2 linked regions of the Styela clava genome follow. Each later gene encodes a partner of the first gene's protein in a complex. Links are inferred from orthologs where the notes say so. Each region holds a gene or a part of one and is shown on either strand. Other genes may lie near its edges.

What was found. Proteins that work in one complex are often made in the same cells at the same time.
Region 2: cyclin-dependent kinase 8-like (region 1) and cyclin-C-like share a complex: the UniProt entries of both Caenorhabditis elegans proteins name them as parts of the mediator complex. The link is inferred for Styela clava from reciprocal best matches to the Caenorhabditis elegans genes cdk-8 and cic-1.

The regions. Positions count from the first base shown.
Region 1 is NC_135252.1:15,842,207-15,853,464, forward strand, and holds the start of cyclin-dependent kinase 8-like, read right to left. Parts: upstream 4,448-11,258; 5' UTR 4,187-4,447; coding exon 3,983-4,186; intron 3,900-3,982; coding exon 3,789-3,899; intron 3,503-3,788; coding exon 3,311-3,502; intron 2,225-3,310; coding exon 2,083-2,224; intron 1,868-2,082; coding exon 1,753-1,867; intron 924-1,752; coding exon 752-923; intron 435-751; coding exon 337-434; intron 12-336; coding exon 1-11. Other genes in the region: importin-7-like, read right to left, coding at 7,773-10,928. UniProt on the Caenorhabditis elegans protein: Component of the Mediator complex, a coactivator involved in regulated gene transcription of nearly all RNA polymerase II-dependent genes.
Region 2 is NC_135255.1:10,306,692-10,318,042, forward strand, and holds cyclin-C-like, read left to right. Parts: upstream 1-6,973; 5' UTR 6,974-7,004; coding exon 7,005-7,856; 3' UTR 7,857-9,002; downstream 9,003-11,351. Other genes in the region: lysosomal dipeptide transporter MFSD1-like, read left to right, coding at 5,067-6,587; transmembrane protein 70, mitochondrial-like, read left to right, coding at 10,467-10,776, 10,942-11,027. UniProt on the Caenorhabditis elegans protein: Component of the Mediator complex, a coactivator involved in regulated gene transcription of nearly all RNA polymerase II-dependent genes.

The DNA of each region.
Region 1 (11,258 bases):
CGCCAAACACACTGTGTGAGAATAGCATGAGTTCAATTTTTTTTTTAAATGGAGTTAGTTACAACCCAATAATACTGTAATGTTGATGGTTATTACCCACGTAATAGCGATTTGTTCCCCAAATGATAATAAAACTATTAAATAAATTTTGATGTAAAATCCATACTGGTGAAATGTATGGTATACCCCTTTTTTTAATTTTAAACCAACATATTATGCTCAAAAATAATAATTTTAACACATTAGGTATTTGTAACAAATGTCAAGGTGTTCCTAGTAATGGAATTAAATGTTGACACAAATATTGAACATATAAGATTATTCAGAAATACTAACTCTTTATTAGGAATAGGTTCTTCATTGAAGTATGGATCAACTTTAGCCATATCTGATGTTATTCTTCTCTGTGGATCCATGATTAAAAGCTTGGATAACTGAGAAGAAAAAAGCGGCAAAGTTTGAATAATACAAAACCCTTGCAAACTTGGAAATTTACCGTATGTTTTATATAGGTTTAACTAGGTGTTTAAAATTTCTCTTCATAATCAATTTTGTTTTCATGGAATATATGGTACAAACTTTGATTGGATATTAAAATTTCAGAATACCAAACATTTCAGACATCCCTTTTTCAAATACAGTGATAAAAATCCATATATGGTAACACACACATTCATACTACAATACATTTATGGCAAATAACAATGAAATGCTCCTTAGAGGAAAGACGAAGAGCAAAATCTATCAATACCAGTGCAAATGCTTTTGTATCAGGTTTGATTTTGTGTTTATCCATATATTTGGCAAGAGAAGCTGTTGCATAGTTTTGTTTGCGGAAATCTTTTTGGAATGCTGAATATTCTGGCATAATTCTGATGCTTTCCCAATCTTTTTCGAGTGGATATCCCATAACGCTAAAAATCCTGTAAAATAGTAATACAATGTAAATATGAGATAAACTCAGCCAGTAAAGAGAGTGCGAAAGATCAGAAATATACTCTTTCCAAAATAAAACTGACATATCCTTACCAACACACAGAAGCAAAAGTGAAAAGAGTTTATGAATTAACTGAATATTTGATAGTTTTAAGCTGTCATTCACACTTTCCACTTACATAGGCATGGTTATGTTACATTATTAACACCCACATATTTATTGTTAAGATCATTCACTAGTGTCACTGCAATCAGTTGTAATATAGTGAATGCAAGTCTTCTGGACATGTTTTACAAATGATTATGATTTCAGGCTAGTATCTTGCATACTTGCCCCAGACAGAGAAAAGCTGTCATCATAAAGCCCAGGTCAAGCATAGATAACCAATTAATCATTCCAGAGGTCTTTGATGGTGGCGGAAGATGTAACCTGCCAGAAGTTGTGTGAATCACCAGTACTCCCGCAGTATGTGAACCAGGTTAGCGTTAGGTCATTTTTCCGGATTTTCCTTATTTATTACGAGTTCGGGGACTGTCTGTGTTAGCCAAGTGAATATACCCCCAGCCCATAGGCTTCAGTACCTTCACACAGCTTGATGTAAAATAGCCGCACAAAATTAGTTACCTCCATATTGGTACACACACTCGCGCAGAATCACCTATTCACATCTTACCCCAAACAAAATTAATACCTGTGAAATCTACTCAGATAGCTCACTAGTTCATTTGCAAGTATAATCATAACATAAAAATGAAAAAAAAGGTCGAATAAAAAGATGGTGGGATAATTTTAAATTATTATAAAAATGTAGAAACCTGCTTAATTGATCTTGATGATATGGATTTGATGTCTTTATGTCTTCTTGTCTACAATGAAATATTGGTTCCGATGTGAGAAGTTCAGCAAATATACATCCGATTGCCCAGATGTCTGCACAAAGTAATTAATGCTGAATTATTGTTCTGATAACTAAGAATGCAAATTGGTTTAACTGTGAAATAATGCTATACAATAGCGAGTAATTAACAACAGGGATTTTTAAACTTAGTTGTGAGAATTCCTAAGGAACTTGATCTCGTTCTAAATATACTACAAGTCAGGAGTGAATATATGGCATTTTGAATTTGGGGATGATATGAACTCACCAATTGCCTTTGTGTAATGTCTTGCTCCAAGAAGTAACTCTGGAGCTCTGTACCAGAAAGTTACGACAACTGGATCGAGATCAGCAAGAGGTTTGAGTGGTGAGTTGAAGAGTCTTGCAAATCCCATGTCTGCTATTTTTACCTGTGAAAAATGAAAAAGATTTACCATTATATTATTTATTAAAGTATTCCTGAAGAAAATTCCACAAACTCAAATAAGAATATTCACTATCTTAATTGTTGTGACTTGTGGCAGAATAAAATGGGGTGATAATGATAATATAATTCAAAAACAATATTAAAAACTTCAGTATATTAACAGCAGAAGGGACAAAATAAAGAAACTGATTTTGTGATTCAATTGCATCTACAGATCATGTCAATAAGATTCATTATTTCAGAATCAAAGTTTTCAAAACTGTGGAGTCAAATAAGTAACTTTTACAGCATGTGCATTTGTGGGGACAGTGGCCTAGTGTTTAATAAGCAATAGACTCAACTATGATCGCAGGTTAAGATTTGGTTCAAATCCTTTGCCCACTACCTTGGTCAATTTCTTGCCAAACAGGAAAGATTCCAAATCTTCCAAACTATAGCAACTCCTTATCTAGTGGTAGCTGCTTGTGAGGAACTTCATTTGGAGCGAAATGTGTGGCATGGAAAATAAAACATGTCAAAAACTGAGTTCCCAAATTTTATATTTTTTAAATTGGGAAAACTTCATGCTGTAAAAATAGCAACAGTTCTATTGCAGTACAGCAGCACACTATCCAAATTCCAAGAATATTCCTCCATTTGGCTCAATAAAACAAACACTCTATGTGTCTCACAAACGAGGGGTGTCTGGGACCACGTCAAATGCTTCATATCGCGCCATGCTTGTCTCAATAATAATTTAAATTAATCGCGGCCGTCACATGACTAAAATTGCCGTTTTTTGCTAACAACTCTTAAATACTACAAAAAAAAAATTTCCTGCGGTAAATCGGATTATTTTTTCCCAATGAATTCAATGATGACGTTACTAGATTGTGCTTTCTTGTAGTATTTTGCGCAACTCCATTATACTGTATTATTACCAATATTGAGGGACAACAATGTCCAGACGTCTCCCAAAGGAGGAGAGTCTGATCACCTGTAAAATGGGTTTCTCTGAAACAGGACAATGTCACCCTATTTGTATAGTGTGCCGTACTGTATTGTTTTTGATACAAAAATTCAGCCTCACCCTTCCTCTTTCTGGTCCTTCTCCCATAACTAGTATGTTTGCAGGTTTTAAATCTCTGTGCAAAACCCAGTTTGAATGTAAGTAATGTATTCCATCTAGAATTTGATAAAGTAATGACTTGACAGTGTGTGCTGGAATGTTTGTGCCAGGTTTCTTGTTAGACTTGGAAGCTCGATGATATTTGATTATATGCTGAAAATTAATAAATGGTTAAAAATCACAGATAAATTTTGAGAAAGAAAAATGATCTAATGTATTCGAACCGTTTTCTAAAAATCAGAAATTTTTTTATAATTAATGCAGAAGTTATTTTGCGGCAAATTTAGGATAAATATCTTTTTTCAACTTTTTGTGACATTTTAGGGATAATAGAAAATAAAAATGAATGTAGTGGAGTATTTTGAATATCACGCTCTATCAAGACACTACTATGAATTTTATTTACATGTAACTATCTGTTATATTAATAACACTTTACCCATAGATCATGTTCCGAATAGTCAACTTGTAGCCAAACTTTTCTGTCAGAATGTGATAAATAAACTGCTCTCAATGATATGACATTCTGATGCTTCAATTCTCTCAGAAGCTGCAAATTATAATAAAGTAGGAATCATTTTAAATAAAAAAAAATCCATGAATTGTTGATATGACAGTATGATAAATACTTACTGCAATTTCTCTGCAAGCAGACATTGAAATCCCAGTGCCTTCAATCAATTTCAAAGCATATTCATTTTTGTCCGAGGAATCCTTCTTTATAGCTTTATAAACATGGCCATAAGTTCCACGTCCCACCTTACAGCCTTCATATTCAAAAAGATCTTCCACTTTTCGCCTCTTGGTCGCCAGCATTTGTTTGAACTCATAATCCATAACAAAACTATTAAACAGATCTACTGTCTGACTGTTGTAATGCAGTACCGTACAGCAAGCTGGGCTTATTAAAGTTTACAAAGTTCTGCCTACTATGGTCCAATTACGGAATTATTCATCAAAATTATCTTCTGTTAAAAATATGCGACACAGAAACAAGTCACAGAAGCCAGATTCCCGCGACACCGAGATATTTCAGTTGGCTTGGCTGATTTTCTAATTCCTACATACTTCCAATATCATGTCGGTGTGACGTCACGTCTTCTACCGCACACGATAATGCTTCAGCGTACCAATGAGCATATATACATACATATACGGTACGAAATGAAGCATTATGATTTTGCCTTGTAATTAAATTAGATACGTGTATCTCTCTAAGGTAGGTTGGCGTATCGTGCTAAGCGTTGGGAACAAGCTTTTCATCTTTACATGATATGTTTACCAATTGATTTAACTTGGGCTACATTGTATGGAAGGACGTCCCTGTCCCACTTAGATACTTGTCGATCACGTTTCCATCTGCGTCAGCCCGGGCATTTGAAAAAATTAACTGAACAACTATTCCCATGACATATTTGGACTGGTAATCGCAAAGTGAAACTAGACTGGCAGTGTGATTAAAAGGGAAAACAGACATCTCTTTTCTGGGATTTAGATAGTCAAATCTTTATCATAAGAGTAACTGGAATCATGTAACCTTGAGTCTACAAAAATTAGCCCTCATAAGCATATATGCACCCGTGCAATCTTCATCTTGAATATATCCCACTTTAAGACATATTTCGGTCTCAACTATTTTGTTTCAAATGTTTAATCGTAAATGTTTAATTCATGACGAAGATGAAATATCTGGTTAGATTGAGATATTTATTTTCGTCGTGCAACAAACATCAATGGGTTTCAATGTTTCAACTGCAATGGACAAGGTGTCGCGAAAAGACTATCAAAGTCATCGGTCAACGACACCATTTTCCAGCAGCAGATGACGTCAAATATTTACGAAAGTATATTGACATAAATAAATACAACACAATTTGGGAACCAAAATTCAAGAGAAACGATTGATTCTATGAGAGAAAACAAAAAAGATTGACGAAATATGTCAATTTTGAGCTCTATCGCCAATAGATACTATAGCATGGACTTGGACCGGTTATATGAACTACGAAACAATTCTTTCGCACATCATTATCTCCCACAGCATTCGATTTCGAACATAAAAACCCACATAGCCATGACGAGTGTATTCATAACCTCACGCAAATCGGCAAGCTTGAAGTTGTTCACGGCCGAATAAATTGGCTTTTTCCCTGTTCTACGCCTCCCCTCGAATTCACTCGGGGCTAGTTGGGAGTGGGAGTGGTGATTCCTCTAAGGCTCATGGCCCTTCAAGTTGTGTAAAGGGAGTGATCCCCCCCCCCCTAATTTTGAGGTGCGATTCAACACTGTAATTCCTAACTCAAGTTCCTAACTCCTGTATTCAAACATAACGACTATGACATATTCATCAGTGTAGATGAGGGGTTCCAACCCGCAGTGTGCGGGCCAATTACGGCTCGCGTAACGATTTAAAATGGCCCGTCGAACTTGAGTGAAATAGTTTTAACACTTCACGTGATACCTTTTGAGTTTTAGATATCGTCTATCGTTACATCATTATCACAGTTTAAGCACGTTTATTTCGTAACAATTGAATTATACCGATATCTTATGTATAAGTATGGGTATTGGGATTACCCACTGCAGTATTTTAGATATCAGCCGTATATTAAGAAAGTTTAAAGATGTCACAAAACGAAAACTAGGCACTGAAAACAGACGTTTTTCATGTGGATGCCAGCGTTTTCATTTCCTTATTGAAAAGAATCAAACTTCAGCGATTTGTCTTCCTTGCCAACAAAATATTTCAGTTCTGAAGGAATACAACATTATGCGCCATTATGATCAGTTGACGCGCGTATTTCAAAATTTAATTCATTGTGCCTAAGCGCCCCGAACCCAAGCCGTATCGTCGCGCACTTTTCCTTGCTCCCTTTTTCGGGCCTTACAATTTTATTCCGTGGGTATTTTGGCTCGCTGTCAATCAACTTGGGGGACCCCCTCGTGTACATCATTTCTTAAATACATACCAATTTTTCAAGAATACAAATAGTTTTATCGCTAATAGCAAATAATTTACCACCCCCCTGTTTTCGAAATAACCCCCCCCCCCCCCTAAAATGAAAAGCTGGGGAACATACTGTGTGAAGGGACTATTCACTTGGCTAACACAGTCAGTCCCCGAACTCATAATAGAACTATAATGTGAAAAATCTGAACAAAATTTGGTCATAACCCTAACCTGGTACACATACTACAGGAGTATCCTTTTCTGTTGCTTGGTATTTTGCTTTATTTTTATATGAAGGCTTATCGTAAGAAAAAAATTTGGTGGCATCCCGCGATTTTTTCGGTTCAAATAATGACAATTTCGTAAAAATTGAAAATTTTGGTAAGATAATTGAATTTTTTCCTTACGGGGTCGCGGCCCATAGCTTGATGGGCCACGGCCCATGTGGCCAAATCAGATGGGCCGTGGCCCCGGACCAGGGCCGTAGAAGAGTCACCAGTAGCTAGGCAGTTCCGGATTTCTTGTTGAGGGTCGCGAACTTTCACGGCAAATATCCCATATGCACAATGACCAGTCGTCGATGTGGAAACAGAAGTGTGAATGAGCAAGGTGTGCGAAAACCTGGCAGCGCATCAAAATCCTCTATTTTTGGAAATGCAATGTATGACTGAAGAATGACAAACGTATTCTCAACAAGTATGTATCCACAAATCTTGTCTCACCACACATAGAATGACACTTTAATCTTCACTCCCCACATTTCCAGTACTAAATGGAAAAATGCCAGCATGCAACTTTACAATACTGTTCCAAACAACCTATCCCCATATAACTAAGATGTTTTTTTTTTATTTTCAACTTCACTAAAAACACAACTGTTAATAAAATGCGAACTCATAAGGTCATGTACAATCTAAAGTTAACGATATTACTGAAACAGTATTATGGAGTTGGGCAGTAAAGTTTAATAGGTGAAACAAACCAAAAGAAAAACAATTTTAACAAGAGTATGTGGGGACAGGGATTCGTTTTCTACCTAACAAATATAATATACATTCTGGGGGTGAAAGTTCAAGCCACCTGTCAAGAATGAATAAAACTTGAGAAACTAGTTATTTTCAACAAATAACTTTTAAAAAAAATAAAAAATATTTCAGTTTAAAAATCGATATATCCAGCAATCGACATCCAGTGAGGAAAAAATTAATTGTCAAATTAACAAACTAAATTGCGCAAATTTTTCTATTTTACATGGCTCAATGCTAAACATATTCAATTATTGAAACGGTAAAAAATAATACAGAATTCGTTCGAAATCACAAATAATTCGAGTTCCAACACCCCTGACAAGTGATCCAGTATATCACCTGTGTAAGCACCTAATTTAATTACAAATGAACCAGAATAGTTTACAGAAATTGCACCATTCTCAATGCTAAATACATGCTCAAAACAATGTTGACTTTGTACGTATTAAGGAGAGAATGCTGGTGGTGGACCAGATGCAGAAAAATTGAAAGTAGTTGGCACATTAGTGGTGTTAAATTGATAACCTCCAGTCTTTTCGATTTTTTTAGACTCTGCCTCTGCTTGCCGCTGGTCCGCAGTTGTGAAAACTTCCTGAAGGTTCTTCCTTTGATCGTCAGTCAAACCAGAAACAAGCTGATTATACCATCCATTGTTATTTAATTCCAATTGTTTTAAGACTTGCTTGAAAATGAAATATTCACTGCCAACATTATCTTCATCATCAAAAGAAGATGCGTAAATTTCAAGCGGCGTCTCTCCATCACTGATATCACTGTCGCCATCAATACCATTTAAAGAACTCTTCTCCAGCATTTCTAAGTATTCAGCAGACTCTTCATCAACCTCATCCTCGCTTGATTCAAGCTCCTCACGTTCATGATCACTCTCATCTTCTTCCTCATCAGAATTCGAGCTTTCACTGCTGTTCTCTTCCCCTCTACTTCTGTAAGCTTGAGTCAGTCCTTGCAACATTAAGATTAAAGAAGGTAAAATGTCTGGTGCAAGTTCAGATATGATTTTTGGTCGTTCCGCAGAATCAATCACAGTACATAGGCCAAGTACAGATATCCGTCTATCATGAATTCCGAGAAAGCAATCTGCATCTTTAAGCCACTGGCGAAAAAATTGCTCAGTAACAGTTTCCGTTGTGTTTGGGAACTGCATGCTTTCCAATGTTTGAAAAAGTAAGGTGGGATTGTAATAAAGGGCAGCAATTACAACTTGAAGGCACATGGTTCGAAGTTCACTTGTTTTCACTTCTTTGGTGAGTCTTTCAAGAGCAAGCTGAACAAATGAAGGGATGCACTGGTCAATTTTTCCATGGCATTGCAAAATGATTACTTCCAGAAGTTTTACAGCATGACTTTCTGCATCTTCTCCATTTTGTTCTTCAAGAATTTTTTTGCACATTTCAAATACTGTTTCCATATTTTTTGTGTTTGACAAAAATACATCTGTATCAACAGTGCAAAAGTTGTGCACGACAGGCATCATTTCGGAGAAATAATCAAAGCCGTCATCGTCGAAAATAACTTTAATCAATGGCAATGCCTCCCACATTTGTGGTGAAATTGCTTGGCAAGTTAAAGAATACATTAACGATAAGATTTCTTCATAAAAATCCATAATTCTATTCTTCAAAACATGGGCAACCACAGGAACAACAATACTTTCTAATTGTACTGTAATATCTCTTTGTTCCTCCATTGTATCCAAAACTGTTTCAATTGTACTTAACACTCCCATAGCAGCCACTGATCTGTTGTCAGATGCCTCATCGTCATCATCTCCAGTACCATTGATTTGTCCATTTTCATCCGTTAATAGTTTGAAAAACGTCATCACCAAACTCTGTGTTATGTCTACTGCATATGGTATCACTTGCTCGCAATAAAGACAAATAATTTTATGCACAACTGAAGTCAACTCATCATTCTCTGTTTCATGCACAAGTTGAAGTAAACTCTGAATCATGACATTGATATAAGGTTCACAACGCTTCTCAGCTTTTTCCTTGTGCAACAGTAGAGTCTGAAGAGCAAAAGCAGCCTCAACTCGAACTGGAAGTTCAGGGTCATCAATAAGAAGTGTACGTATTCCATCAGCCACTGCAAATATATTCGAATCCTTTTTGAATGTGATTCGGCTGAAATGCTGAGTGACCCATACGGCTCTTGCTCTCATGTATCCAAGTGTACTCTTGTATTCTGGAATAACATGGGTAAAAAGCATGCTTTCTAGTTGACTTTTGTATACTTTTCTTTTTCTTAGGGTTGATGATAAAGATCCAATAATATGCAAAGCTCCTTCCTTGCGACGAGGTTCCGTTTTTGTTTCATTGGCAACCAGAACTTTATGACAAAAACCCATTGTTTTTTGCACAACTTGCTTTCTTTTAGTACAAGCGGACTGCAAGAAACACTGAGCTGCACTCGATGGAGAAAAGAAATCTTCCTTGAAATCAAATCTTTCACGAACAAACTCATGTGGGTCATCGCTCCACAATTCTTCGTCTTTTTCTGAGAAACACATCAGAGGAAATATTACATCTTTCAAAACTTCGTCATAAACTCCTTTCATGACTTTCCAAGTTTGAGAATGGCTAACTCCTTGTTCCAAAAATTGCATTGTCTGTTGTAAGACGCGAGGTGATACATATTTTCCCTTGCTGTAATCACCCAATACTTTCAGAAGAACATGAGTTGCTCCGACAGCGTACCTTCGCAAGAAAAATTCAGAAAATTGATTATATTCTTGACTAACAGTCCCAGGACTACCATATCTTTCAAAAACTCTGGTTAAAATATGCAGAGCCCACTTTTTACATTTCCACCATGGTAAATCGGGTCTCTCTAATTCATCCACTTGTAGAGTTTCTTCAGGTGGTGCCTCTTCAATCACAATTTGAATGTATTTCATCCAGGTATCCAAAACTGCACCTTCAATCAATTTGAGAGGCAGAGAATACTGTGTAAGAGCGTAAATCACTTTCAAACACTGCTTTTGAATAAGCACAGACTGAGCAGACCCATCATTGAGTGCATGCTGAAAAAGTTGTCCCAGAGCGGGTAGAAATATTTTCATTGCTTCCAATAATGGTACCCTCTCTTCTCGTTTCTTGTACTCATATTTTTTAACCAATTGATACAAGGTCTGCAAAGCTCCCATCCATGTATTTGGATCACCTCCCAAGTAGTTGGCAATCTTGTCTATGATTCCTGGCCATCGCTCTGGAAAGTCTTCCCTAATGATTTGATAAACAGTGACGCTCATTTGACTTCTGATAACTTCAGGAGCATGTATAATGGCCTCGACAATATTCTCTCTTATAATTGCTTTATCATTTTCATGAATGAAAAAGACATCGGTAGATTCGTCATCTTCTGGGTCCTTTCTCCACCACTTGGTACACATATTTTTCATATAAATCGCACCAGCTTGCCTGACTGCCATTGGTATTTCTTCAGACATTACAATTTGCAATAGAAGAGGAGCAAATCCACTGATCTTGTGCATTTCATCTAGTTTGCTTTCTGCCTCTTGTCGAAGTGCTGGATGCATTGTCCCTTCAAGGATCTCAACAACTTTTTTTGGATCCATGACTATTGTGGTTTTGAGTTTTAAACCATACAAAACAGAATTTCAATTTTTTCTCCCTTTCTCAGGTAAATAAAAGTCAAAACTATTTTGTTAATATTGTAGTTGATAATAGCTGAAATTAAAACGTAGAATAATTTTAGATATGATGTGAGATTGCCTAAGTAATATGAAATTAGGGATTAAAATAAATTTTGGCATTTGAAATAAAAAAAAATTTATGGACCTATAGTAAGTCTGAGGGAAATCTTTATTAATATCTAAAAATGTAAAAAGGTTCCATATAAATTAACAGAAATACAATAAAATACAGTTTAATATAGATTTCAGATC
Region 2 (11,351 bases), on another chromosome or scaffold:
TTGACTGTTTTCAAGATCTGAACGAAGGCTCCAACTGCTTAATTTTATCGGTACACGTGGGAATTTTCAGTGGGGCATACATGGGTCAGTTGGAGTCACTAACATCAAGATATCTATAAGCAAGGATAAAATAACCTGGAAGTAACATTCCATAATTTAGAGTAAAAAATGTATCTGCCTCCACAGCCCTTTCAAATGAAAGATATGATGCCTTGAGGGGTAATTTCTATCAAGTATTTTACAGTGTTATGGTTCTTCTAGTGAAAATGGGTTTAGGCGGCTTCTTTTAAAGTGTGGTAGGTCTAGTCAAAAGACACATTAAACAACTGCAAAGTGAAATTGCAACGCATACAAGTTAACAGAATTTGTTGAAATGGTCCTGCCTTTTGCCTTTCCTCAAAATCCACCTTTTTCTAACTATTCTTTTCCTCTCTAGGAGTGGCGAAAATTCAAATATTGATGGGACATAATCAGCTGATAATGGGTTATCTTTCATTTTTTCTGAAAAGAAATTACACACAAATCATCATTTGACAGTGTCACGTTTGTGCATCAGATCAGTAATAGAACCATTCTATGTCGAGATTAGCTAGCCAGGTATTTGTTTTCATTTGCGTCTCTTATTGCAAAATCCCCCGGAAGTGGGTCAGGAGCCTTAAAAGGTTGGGAACCACTGGTATAGAGTTACATTACTTTACCATATCACAAAATTTACTGCGACACCTTTGAGCTCGTTAATGCCATAATTATTTAACCGTTCCCATCCCGTAATCTGTTTGAGCTGAAATATATTGGGTTTTAAGTAGGAATTCTTAAACGAAATCTCGGCGGCTAAATGGTAATGCTATTGAGCAATATTTCTAGTTACTTATCGATCTTAAGATCGGTAAGTCTGTTAATAGATATTTGTCTGTTGGTTTGTTTCAGTATACAGGCGCGGCGATGTGGCTTAACGGGCTAAGCGTTAGGAATACGCTCGCCACCGCACCTCTAATTACTCTGCGTGGGTTCGCAGGTTCGAATCCCATGCAGGGATGGTTATGTGCGAGAGGATTGCTAGACTCCTCGCCGTCGTTGGGTGGTTCACGTAACCGCTGGTCGGTTACGGCTTCCTCCACCACCAAGTCCATGCTTCCGAAAACAAACAATACAGTAAAACTATTCCAATACCCGACTTGGAATGGTAACCGGACGAGAGGCCGTGGTTCGCCATATGGATGGTCTTATCGGCTTTCCTCCCCCCCCGGGATAAATATGTAAATCCTATCCTATCCTTTATGCTATTGCAGAGGCGTAGCTTAGGGGGGGCAGTGGGGTACATATGCCCCCGGGCGCCAAGGTACAGGGGCGCCAAAATGGGGCTTGCAAACATTTCACAAGGGTAAAAAAACGGTCACAAGCAAGATCGTTAGGTTCTTGCCTGCGCACTCCGATGTAAGTTGATATTAGTCCTGTGGTGGAGACAAATGGAAACGAAATTTGGTTGACTGATGTTAATACATGTTTTGAGTAATACGTGGTTTTGTATTTCGTTGTTGTCAAAATACCGTACTTTGCGGCAGAGTTACATAAAATATATTATACTGTGCTAAAAGACCCCAATGCTGTTTTCGACAATTCGTCGAGATTGCACAGATTTTGCAAATTTCTACGATACGGACATCAATGGCCGCGAACTTTTCACCGAAATTGGAGATTGCAGAATGCTGCTCAGTAACAGAACTGTAGGTCAACCAGAAACTCCTTTGGCTCTTGTTGGTTTTATTGTGTCTTCTGGAGACGACGTTTTACCCAATCTGCGAATTTCTCTACAATTTTTGTTAACAATACCAGTTTCAATTGCAAGCTGTGAACGGTCTTTCAGCAAATTGAAACTTATTTTGTCGTATTCGCGTGCATCAACGGGACAGGATCGTCTCAGTGATCTTGCACTTCTAAGTGTTGAAAGAGAAACAGATTTTGATGACGTGTTAACCAGTTTACGACAGTGAAATTGAAAAAAATGAATTTATTGTAGACTATGCAAATCATCTTTGACAGTAACTGAGTGGGACATATGCTCTATTTTGTATAGCTTTGCTTCTTCTTTAAATAAAATGTTCCATTAAAATTTGAATTTACATATACATATATTTTTGAATAAATAATAAAATATATAAATACATATAAATTTGAATTCACATATCGTCACGGTAATAACCGAATTGCGTAAGTCATTTTTGGCGGTTTTGAGTTTTTCATAAAATAGGTATTTATATAATGCTGCGCACCTGTCTGTTAACTCAGATTTTATTTTAAGAATTCCGAAACCCATAAAAATAGAGATTTTGTATAATATGCAAATTTGTTCAATTGCTCCGTCATAATGAATTATCTTTGTTAACGTAGGACTATTGTGACGTCACAAAGGCAAAATAACCTCGGCGAAGGATTTTCGAATTTTTGCATCTCAGATTCTAGCTTAGCTCCAATAATTTTGATTTTATACTACTGTATAGAAAGGCGTGCACTTGTGATATTCACTGTCTGAGTCCAATTCACCTTGGTTGACTTTTATATAAGGGTACATTGCTGTTTTATTCTTTATATTTAACTTTAGTCTTATTTCGGTGATGTGCAGAGCGTGTTATATTGATGAAATAAATATTTTTAAACATAAAAAATAATGTAATTGAAACAGATTAGCTATTTTGGGGATTTTGGATTGTTTGGTTTTCAGGACTGGTACATATAGTCAAGTTGCAAAATTGCGTATGTCCCCTAGTCATAGACACACTTTTGCCTAAGTCACAGTGCGCCATTATGACGTCACATGACTGCGTCATACAAATTAACTTAAATCCGGCTACGATCAAAAAGTTGAACTATGGCAAATTAATGGCATAGCAATATCATTAGGAAGTTTTTTTTACGTTTTTCTCAAAACAGCTAAAAATGACTTACGCAATTCGGTTGTTAGCGTGACGATATATAATTTGTTTTTACATATAAAATTAAATGCAATAGAAACATGATTAAACGTGGGGGTCGGGGCGCCAATTTTATATTTTGCCCCGGGCGCAAAATATGCTGGCTACGCCTCTGTGCTATTGGCATTGTAAATACTTCATTTCAATACAAAAATAATTTCCTTGTTGTAAGCGAAAAAGTCATGAATGAAAGGGTTAATTGTGGTCCATTTTAGCTTACCAGGCTTATCCATGGAATGGGAAACGTCCCATGGGATGAGACAACACACTTTGTATTTCTCATGAGACACTCATTTTTATATAAGATTATTGGAAGAATAGACACATGTTTCTACCGCTAAAAGATGATGCGAAAATTGTTCTGGCCGTACCAGTGTCATCTGCGGCAGTAGAGCGTTTATTTATGGGCCGACCAGTTTGTTTTTGCGCAATCTACGACAACGGATTTACCTTCTCTTCATATGTTCATATTCATGTTCATATTCATATGTATTGGGGGGAATGGGATTAAATTAAAAAATGATAAACAAAAACATGGAAACAAAAAAATATCTATTTATATATTTATAATAAAATGATTTGATACCAAAATATTAATACGAAAATTCCGTTTGGCATTGGAATTTATTTGGCACAAAAAAAAAAAAAAAAGGATTTACCTTCTCTTGTTATCACTCTGATTACATCAGATTTGCGTGTAAAATGAAAATATAGGAAATGGTTCGGAATCAGAACTCATCCGAATTAACAGAATTAGTAACAGTCGATGAACAGGAAATTAATGATTTGCAGTAGAACGAGAGTGTCATTCTGAATTGTCGTAGTTCAGTAGTTATCAGACACGGAGTGGACCTATGGATCGTTTTGTTATTATGTTGTTGTTCTTATTGTTGCTCTTCTTCTTGGCATTAGAATTTTTCTTCCTATCGTTATGAAAAAATCACCTTTCTCTTTACTTACTGGACCAAATGCATTTCATCCAAAATTTCGCTGTATTATTTTTTACCTTACTGCCTTATGCTGTTATGGGAACACGGTTTTAAAAACTGAATTAATTAGTACCGGTACCGGTAGTCTATATGGAGAAGGGGTGGGCAACATTTTTTAGTATAAAAGCCGCATGCAGCGAGTCAGAAATATGTGAGAGCCGCATAATTTTTGAAATTATTGATATTAGTGATCATTAAATCATTTTGCATTGTAACTGTTACATTGATACTAATTTGGATTTGGGCTATTGACTGCGACAACATCAGCAATATTTTTTTTCACAAAATACAGCCCCAGAGTATCGGTGTTTAGCATTTTAAATTTAAAATAAAAAACATGGAAACAAAGGACTGTGTTTTTAAAATAAAATGATTCGATTCCAAAATATCAATATGAAAATTCCCTTTGCCATTGGAATTTATTTGGCACAAAAAAAAAAGATACTACAGTACTAACCTAGGCCCTACTATTTCCGTGTAAACTCAGAAGAACACAAATTTTGGGATTGACATCACTGTATTAGGTCACACTGTCATAGGTTCGTCGCTTATAGCATTCAAACAATCTTTGGCAAAGCATCATTCTTTGCTATCTTAGATGTACTAGGCCCTACTTTATTATTGAAATACACCGGTGTGGCTCGCCGTGCCAAGCGTTAGGAATACGCTCTATGATCCACCGCATCTGATTACTCTGCGTGGGTTTGCAGGTTCGAATCCCATGCGAGTGAATCGCTGAACTCCTCGCTGTCGTAGGGTAGATCACGTAACCGCTGGTCTGTTACGGCTTCCCCCACCATCAAGTCCATGCTACCGGAAAAAAATAACTAATCCCATACCCAACCGACATGAAATTGTAAACGGACGAGAGGCAGTGGTTCGCCATATGGTTAAGTCATCTTATCAACTTTCCTCTCCCCCAGGAGAAATATGTAAATCCTATCCTATATCTGGATATGCATACAAATGCTGAAAGATTTCCAAAGCGATAGTCATAAGCTATAACAGTATAAAGCTCTACATCAATATATTAAGGTATTTTTACTTTTTAGATTAAATAATACAAAACTTTCTGAAATTTAAGACCTAACCTACCGGTATTATCATTATGGAAACTGATCCACTTGTTCGAAGACGTTCATCTGCTGCACCAGTTAAAGTAAAACCATGTGAAGTTGGAAATCCTCGTAGTTTGAGCCATCGTCTTATCATTATTGCTTTGATGTGTTTTCTAAGTTTTGGAAGTTATTTCTGCTACGACAATCCTGCTGCATTACATGATGAAATTGTGAATGATTTGGATGTAAGTGAAAGCACTTTTATGTCGCTTTATGCTTGGTATTCATGGCCAAATGTTGTCCTCTGTTTTTTTGGAGGATTTCTCCTAGATAGGGTTTTTGGTGTTCGCCTTGGCAGCCTCATTTTTAGCATGCTGGTTGTTATTGGGCAATTAATTTTTGCTACTGGAGCACTGGTACACAAAATATGGTTGATGGACCTAGGACGTTTCATATTTGGTATTGGTGGAGAATCATTAGCTGTCGCCCAAAATACATATGCTGTTCTCTGGTTTAAAGGAAAGGAATTAAACTTAGTGTTTGGTTTACAACTCAGCATGGCTCGGATTGGAAGCACCGTGAATATGAACCTTATGGTACCAATTTATGATATGGTTAATGAAAAAATGAAGGACCACAATAAAACCTTGGGTGTTTCTCTATTTATTGCTGCTCTGACTTGTTTGTTCTCGTTGACATGTGCAATTAGTTTGGCGTATTTAGACAAACGTGCTGAAAAAATATTGAATCGTAAAAAGAATGAAGCTGAAGAAGCTGTTAAACTAACGGATGTTAAAGACTTTTCAATTCAGTTATGGCTTGTATTTGCCATCTGTGTGGCTTATTATGTAGCAGTATTTCCTTTTATAGGTTTAGGAAAAACGTTTTTTCAAGAAAAGTTTGGATTTTCTTCATCGAGCGCAAGCGCAGTGAATAGTATTGTATATATCATGTCCGCACCTTGTTCACCGGTCCTAGGCTTTATTATTGATCGGGTTGGTCGTAATTTGTTCTGGATTTTATTTGCTGTTGTTTTAACTCTTGCAAGTCATGGTTTATTAGCATTTACCTTTATCAATCCATGGTTTGCCATGACGTTGATGGGATTTGCATATTCTGTGTTAGCATGTGCACTGTGGCCACTTGTAGCATTTTTAGTACCTGAGCATCAACTTGCCACAGCCTATGGCTTTATGCAATCAATACAAAACTTGGGTTTGGCTGTCATATCGCTTGCCGCTGGTAGTATTCTCGACAGTAAAGGATATTTCATGTTAGAGATATTTTTTTGTATGTGTATCAGTGTTGCTTTAATATCTGCTTTGCTTTTGTACATCATTGATTTTGGTCGTGAAAGTGGCCTGAATGCTTCTGCCAAAGAACAAAATGCAAAACGTGCTCTCGAAGAAGCAGCAGAAGAAATTGCAAATGCTTCTGTTGATATGCAACCAAGAATTAAACCAATGACTGCATTTGGTTTGAGAAATCGTTATTATTCAAGAATCGGTGCAATTATTCCTGAACACTTAGTTGCTCACACTAACGTGTCACATCACGGACATGATGAATAGAATTTTTTATTATATTTTGATTTTCTTCCATTTTTGATGAATTTTAATGCAATTATGTGTATCGTAATATTCCAATGTGATTACTGCATCATATCATGACACCTGTTATATTTTGCAGAACATTTTTTAATATAACAGTGCCCATATGTCTCATTGCTACAGATCTCCATCTCTGAAATAACAACCTCGAATTCCAAAATTTTTGTTTATGATTATTCATCTGTAATGCTTACATAGTTATACAAAATATCTCCTAAACTTTGTACTATTAGTTATACCGTACTTTTTCATGCATCAATTTACAAACCAATCTTGCCATTTGTTATGTAGCATTTTTCTGTGCTTCTATCATTGTGTCTTGTAAAAATTTATCATTTTTTTTATAGATTACCATCTAGCTCCTATTTTAAATCTGATATGGCTGGAAACTTCTGGCAGAGTTCTCATTGCAATCAATGGATACTTACGCCGCAAGATCTCACTCGAGAACGAGCAGCTGATTTCAAAGTTTTAACGGAAGTTGAATATAACAAAGTGATGATTTTTTATGCCAATGTAATCCAAGCAATTGGCGAACAATTAAAGCTACGCCAGCAAGTTATTGCTACGGCAACTGTTTATTTCAAAAGGTTTTATTGCAGACATCCATTACGAAGCTGTGACCCACTTCTTTTAGCTCCAACTTGCATTTTTCTTGCTGCGAAGGTGGAAGAGAGTGGCGTGGTATCAAATTCACGGCTTATTGCTGCAGTCGGAAGTGTCATCAAAAATAAATTTGGCCATGCGTTTCAAATGGATTATAACTACAGAATAACCAGTGTTTGGGAATGTGAATTTTTTCTCCTGGAATTAATGGATTGTTGTTTAATTGTGTATCACCCATATCGTCCATTATTACAATATGTTTCAGACATTGGACACGCTGATTTATTGTTACCAGTTGCTTGGCGTATTGTAAACGACACATATCGTACGGATGTCATATTGTTATATCCACCTTTTCAAATTGCTCTCGCATGCCTGCATATTGCATGTGTTATACAGAGTCAGTTAGAGGTTGCAAGACAATGGTTTGCAGATTTAAATGTTGATATGGAAAAAATTATTGAAATTACAAAAATTATATTACAACTTTATGATTTGTGGAAAAACTATAACGAAAAAGAAGAAATTTCTTCCATTTTAGAAAAAGTTCCTAAAGCTTGTGTCACACCAAGTGATTATAACAGAGATGATCGCATGGCTATAAAGGGTAAAGGAAAAGGGTAACCTTTGATTAAACTAAATTAAAGCTCGGTATCCGTTTTTCCATCAATAAGAGAGGTTCAAATTTTATATACGTTGCAAAGTATGGGTATATCTCAACTTCAAACAAGGCCATGTATCTGAAACAAATAGATGGACACAAGGGAGGGTCAAAGTTTATCTACGTTGCAAAGTATAGGCATGGCTCAACTTCAAATCAAAGACATGTATCTGAAACAAATAACTGGCCAACTAATATCATACCCGAGTAACCCGACATAGACTGTTAACCGAACGAGAGCCCTCTTATCTAATTTCCTCTCTCCCGGAATAAATATAAAATCCTATCCCTAAATAATTGATTGATAAGTGAATTAGTAAATTGATGTATTTAAATTTAGCCAAGTGCATGAAAAGGAAGATTTCAAGTAGTCATTGATGTATTCAATGATGATGACTCTCAGTTTCATGGTAGTCTTTTTTCAAACCACATGCTATGTGATTGTGTCATTTTGGCTGTTGCTATTGCAATTCCCTATTTTAAGTCCTTACTTTTGGGATACAGATCCAAATGCTTAATTAATTAAATTAATCGGGTTCCTCATTTTGTGCAAATAGCATGCGTTAAACCAGTCAAAATGATTGTTTTGCTATGTGAACAAAAACAAACTATTTGCAGGTTGTGAATTTATAATTGCATATTATCTGTACAGTTTGTGCTACTCTGTTTATGCTTTCTACTTAGTGTTGACTAAACAATACATTTTTATGATTACTAGATCACAATAACTTGCCAAATATGTAAGGTGCACACTTTATTTTGATAATGCTAAATTACTTATATCCTGAAATTTTTGAAATAGTGAACTATTCGGTATTGGCCATCCCTGATTTGAAGCACTCTTGCTGATTTTTATTTCCTTATCGTATTGTCTATCACCCTATGAAATTTGAGGGCTACAGGAAAATTACACCTAGTATTCCAAAATAGTAATATGATGGGTATCACTTACATTATAATATTAATTTAAAATTGTGACATCATATCTGAATTTTAAATTTGAATAAATCTAGATGCAATTTACAATTTCAAGCAGTACTTGATATTTCTAGTAGTACCAGTATTTTTCAATGTACATACTATCATGAAATGCTTTTGTATTGTTTAGATCAAGTAGATAGAATCAGGTCAAATAGTCTTAGTTATTTATTCATGTTGAATGTAGGCCAATAGCTAGATATCTACCTTGCTGTTTTTATAAAGTAAGTTTTGTAGTTTAATCTATTGATAATGCTAATCAATCAAGTATTGACACAATTACCAACCAGGGCATTGACTATAAGTAAAAACTATAGTAAATGTCCAGGCATGATTAGGTTCTAGATGGAAAAACAAGTGATAATACCATAAATGTAATAAAATGTGTTCATTATGTATGGTATTATTTAACTTACGGTATGTGAATAATAATATTACAATAGGATGTTGTAATCAGAGATGGCTATTTTTCAATATCGAACTTGATATTTTATCCAAAATTTTTAACAAATCTGTCTTCTCATCTGAATATATTATTTACTCGAATATGGTCCAGAAAATTCATGGCATTCCCTTTTTGTTAATATAACAAATGATACTTTTTCCAACACTTTTGTGAAACTAAAGTGAATTATTCCATTCATTGGGTACATCTCGTGACAATTCTTTTGATTATACAGTATAATATGTTTATATATTTTCTTTTTCAGATCTGTATCAGCATTTCTTTATCAACATCTTGAAAGGAGCACACTGATAAAAAGTCACCTAGAAATCATGTTATGATTTTTAAACAAAAAAGATGTGTGAATGAGGTTTAAAAAATTTCATATCAGGGGTGTTTATGGCATGCATAGATCACCTAGTTAAGTATACTTGATGCAATGGACATTTTATCAAATATTATCTGTAACTACTTAATCATGTGATGTGTTACATATGATTTTTTTATTTTGTTAAACAGAGAAAATATGATATAGTGCAACCAATGATAAAATTATACCAAATGCAACCCACAAGGGAAAATTGTGAGGCTCCTGCAGAAATGCAAATTTTGAATGATGTGTGACCCACGAAACGAGTTTTAATTTAGTTTAATCTGCTACATGCAAGTAAATTCAATCCCTTTGCATTGCAAAGCCTATACTCTAATTATTATCTATGCCTATGACATTACAATGCCCTAACAGCTAGCTTGTTGTGAAGCGAACAACGTATATTATAAGATCAATAACCAAAATTTTTATATATGTGCAACTACCACCCAGTGTTAAAGAAAGGTGCGGCCAGCAGTATGAATATATATTAAATTGCCCAATGTTCACATTCAAAAAAGAAAGACGCACTAATCTCTATTTTTTAGGCATGTTGTACTCACTGATCTACTAATACTATCATCATTAAGCAGAACTTAATAATTTCCATCTAGTTGTCCAAAACCAACCCAAGAATCAGCCATATTGACTACAACTATTTATGAATATATTTGTATAGTTAATTTTGTTCCGACCCCTGTCTATAGCACCCTGTTAATCTTGTATATAGTCCATTTCTAGGTCCTACAACATTATAAATTTTTAACTTAAATAGAAGAGATGATTCTCAGACAGTTACTTCATCCAATTCAGCAAAGATCTACTACATCTTCGATTATGTTGAAGAATAGTATACATATGAACTGCTTTAAGTGTCATCAAACTTCCAGCATCAGATCAAACATTTATTTAAGTAATTTCAATAAAGGGAGAAATTGTTTATTACAAAAATGTCTCACCTTATATCTTTCGAATTTGAGAAACATGAGTATGTCTTCAACTTGTTATTCGATTGAAAAGCGACTAGGAACTGAATATGAAGAAGGAGTATTATTGTATGTAGGTGGAAATGTTGGGAATACAATAAAACGTTAGTAAAGATCTCTTTTCAAACTATTTAGAAAATTGTATTTTAAAATATAGCTTCAAGTTAGGCATTTATTCATACGTCTTCTGCTAGCCTAGTCAACTTATTGTCTCAATCAAAATTGAGATGAATATTATTTTGCTAATAAATGATTGTGTTATTTTTCAGGTGCCCAAATGTTCTTGTACTCTCTTGGTGCATTGACCCTGGTTGCATCACCCATGATCTTCTTTTCTACAGAAGTCGAAATTATGGTATGTTGATATAAGGTAAATCTTTGAATAGAGATATTTTCTATTGGGCAAGTCTGAAAATATTAGCATTTTACCAGGGTCACACGAGACTTACCTGCCTATCCTTATATATTTAACAAAGTTCACGGACAATTGTGGTTGCATGTCTAATTTTACTAAAACAGTGGTTTCCAACCTTTTTTGGCTCGCGACCCTCTTTGGTGGTTTACAAATACCTCGCGACCCCCTGCCTCACTTTCTATACTATCAATAAAATAAGCAGGAAAGTGGAGGCGAGGTTCTTACGACTTCATGACAGCTGCTGCCACGAACGTATCGATGGCA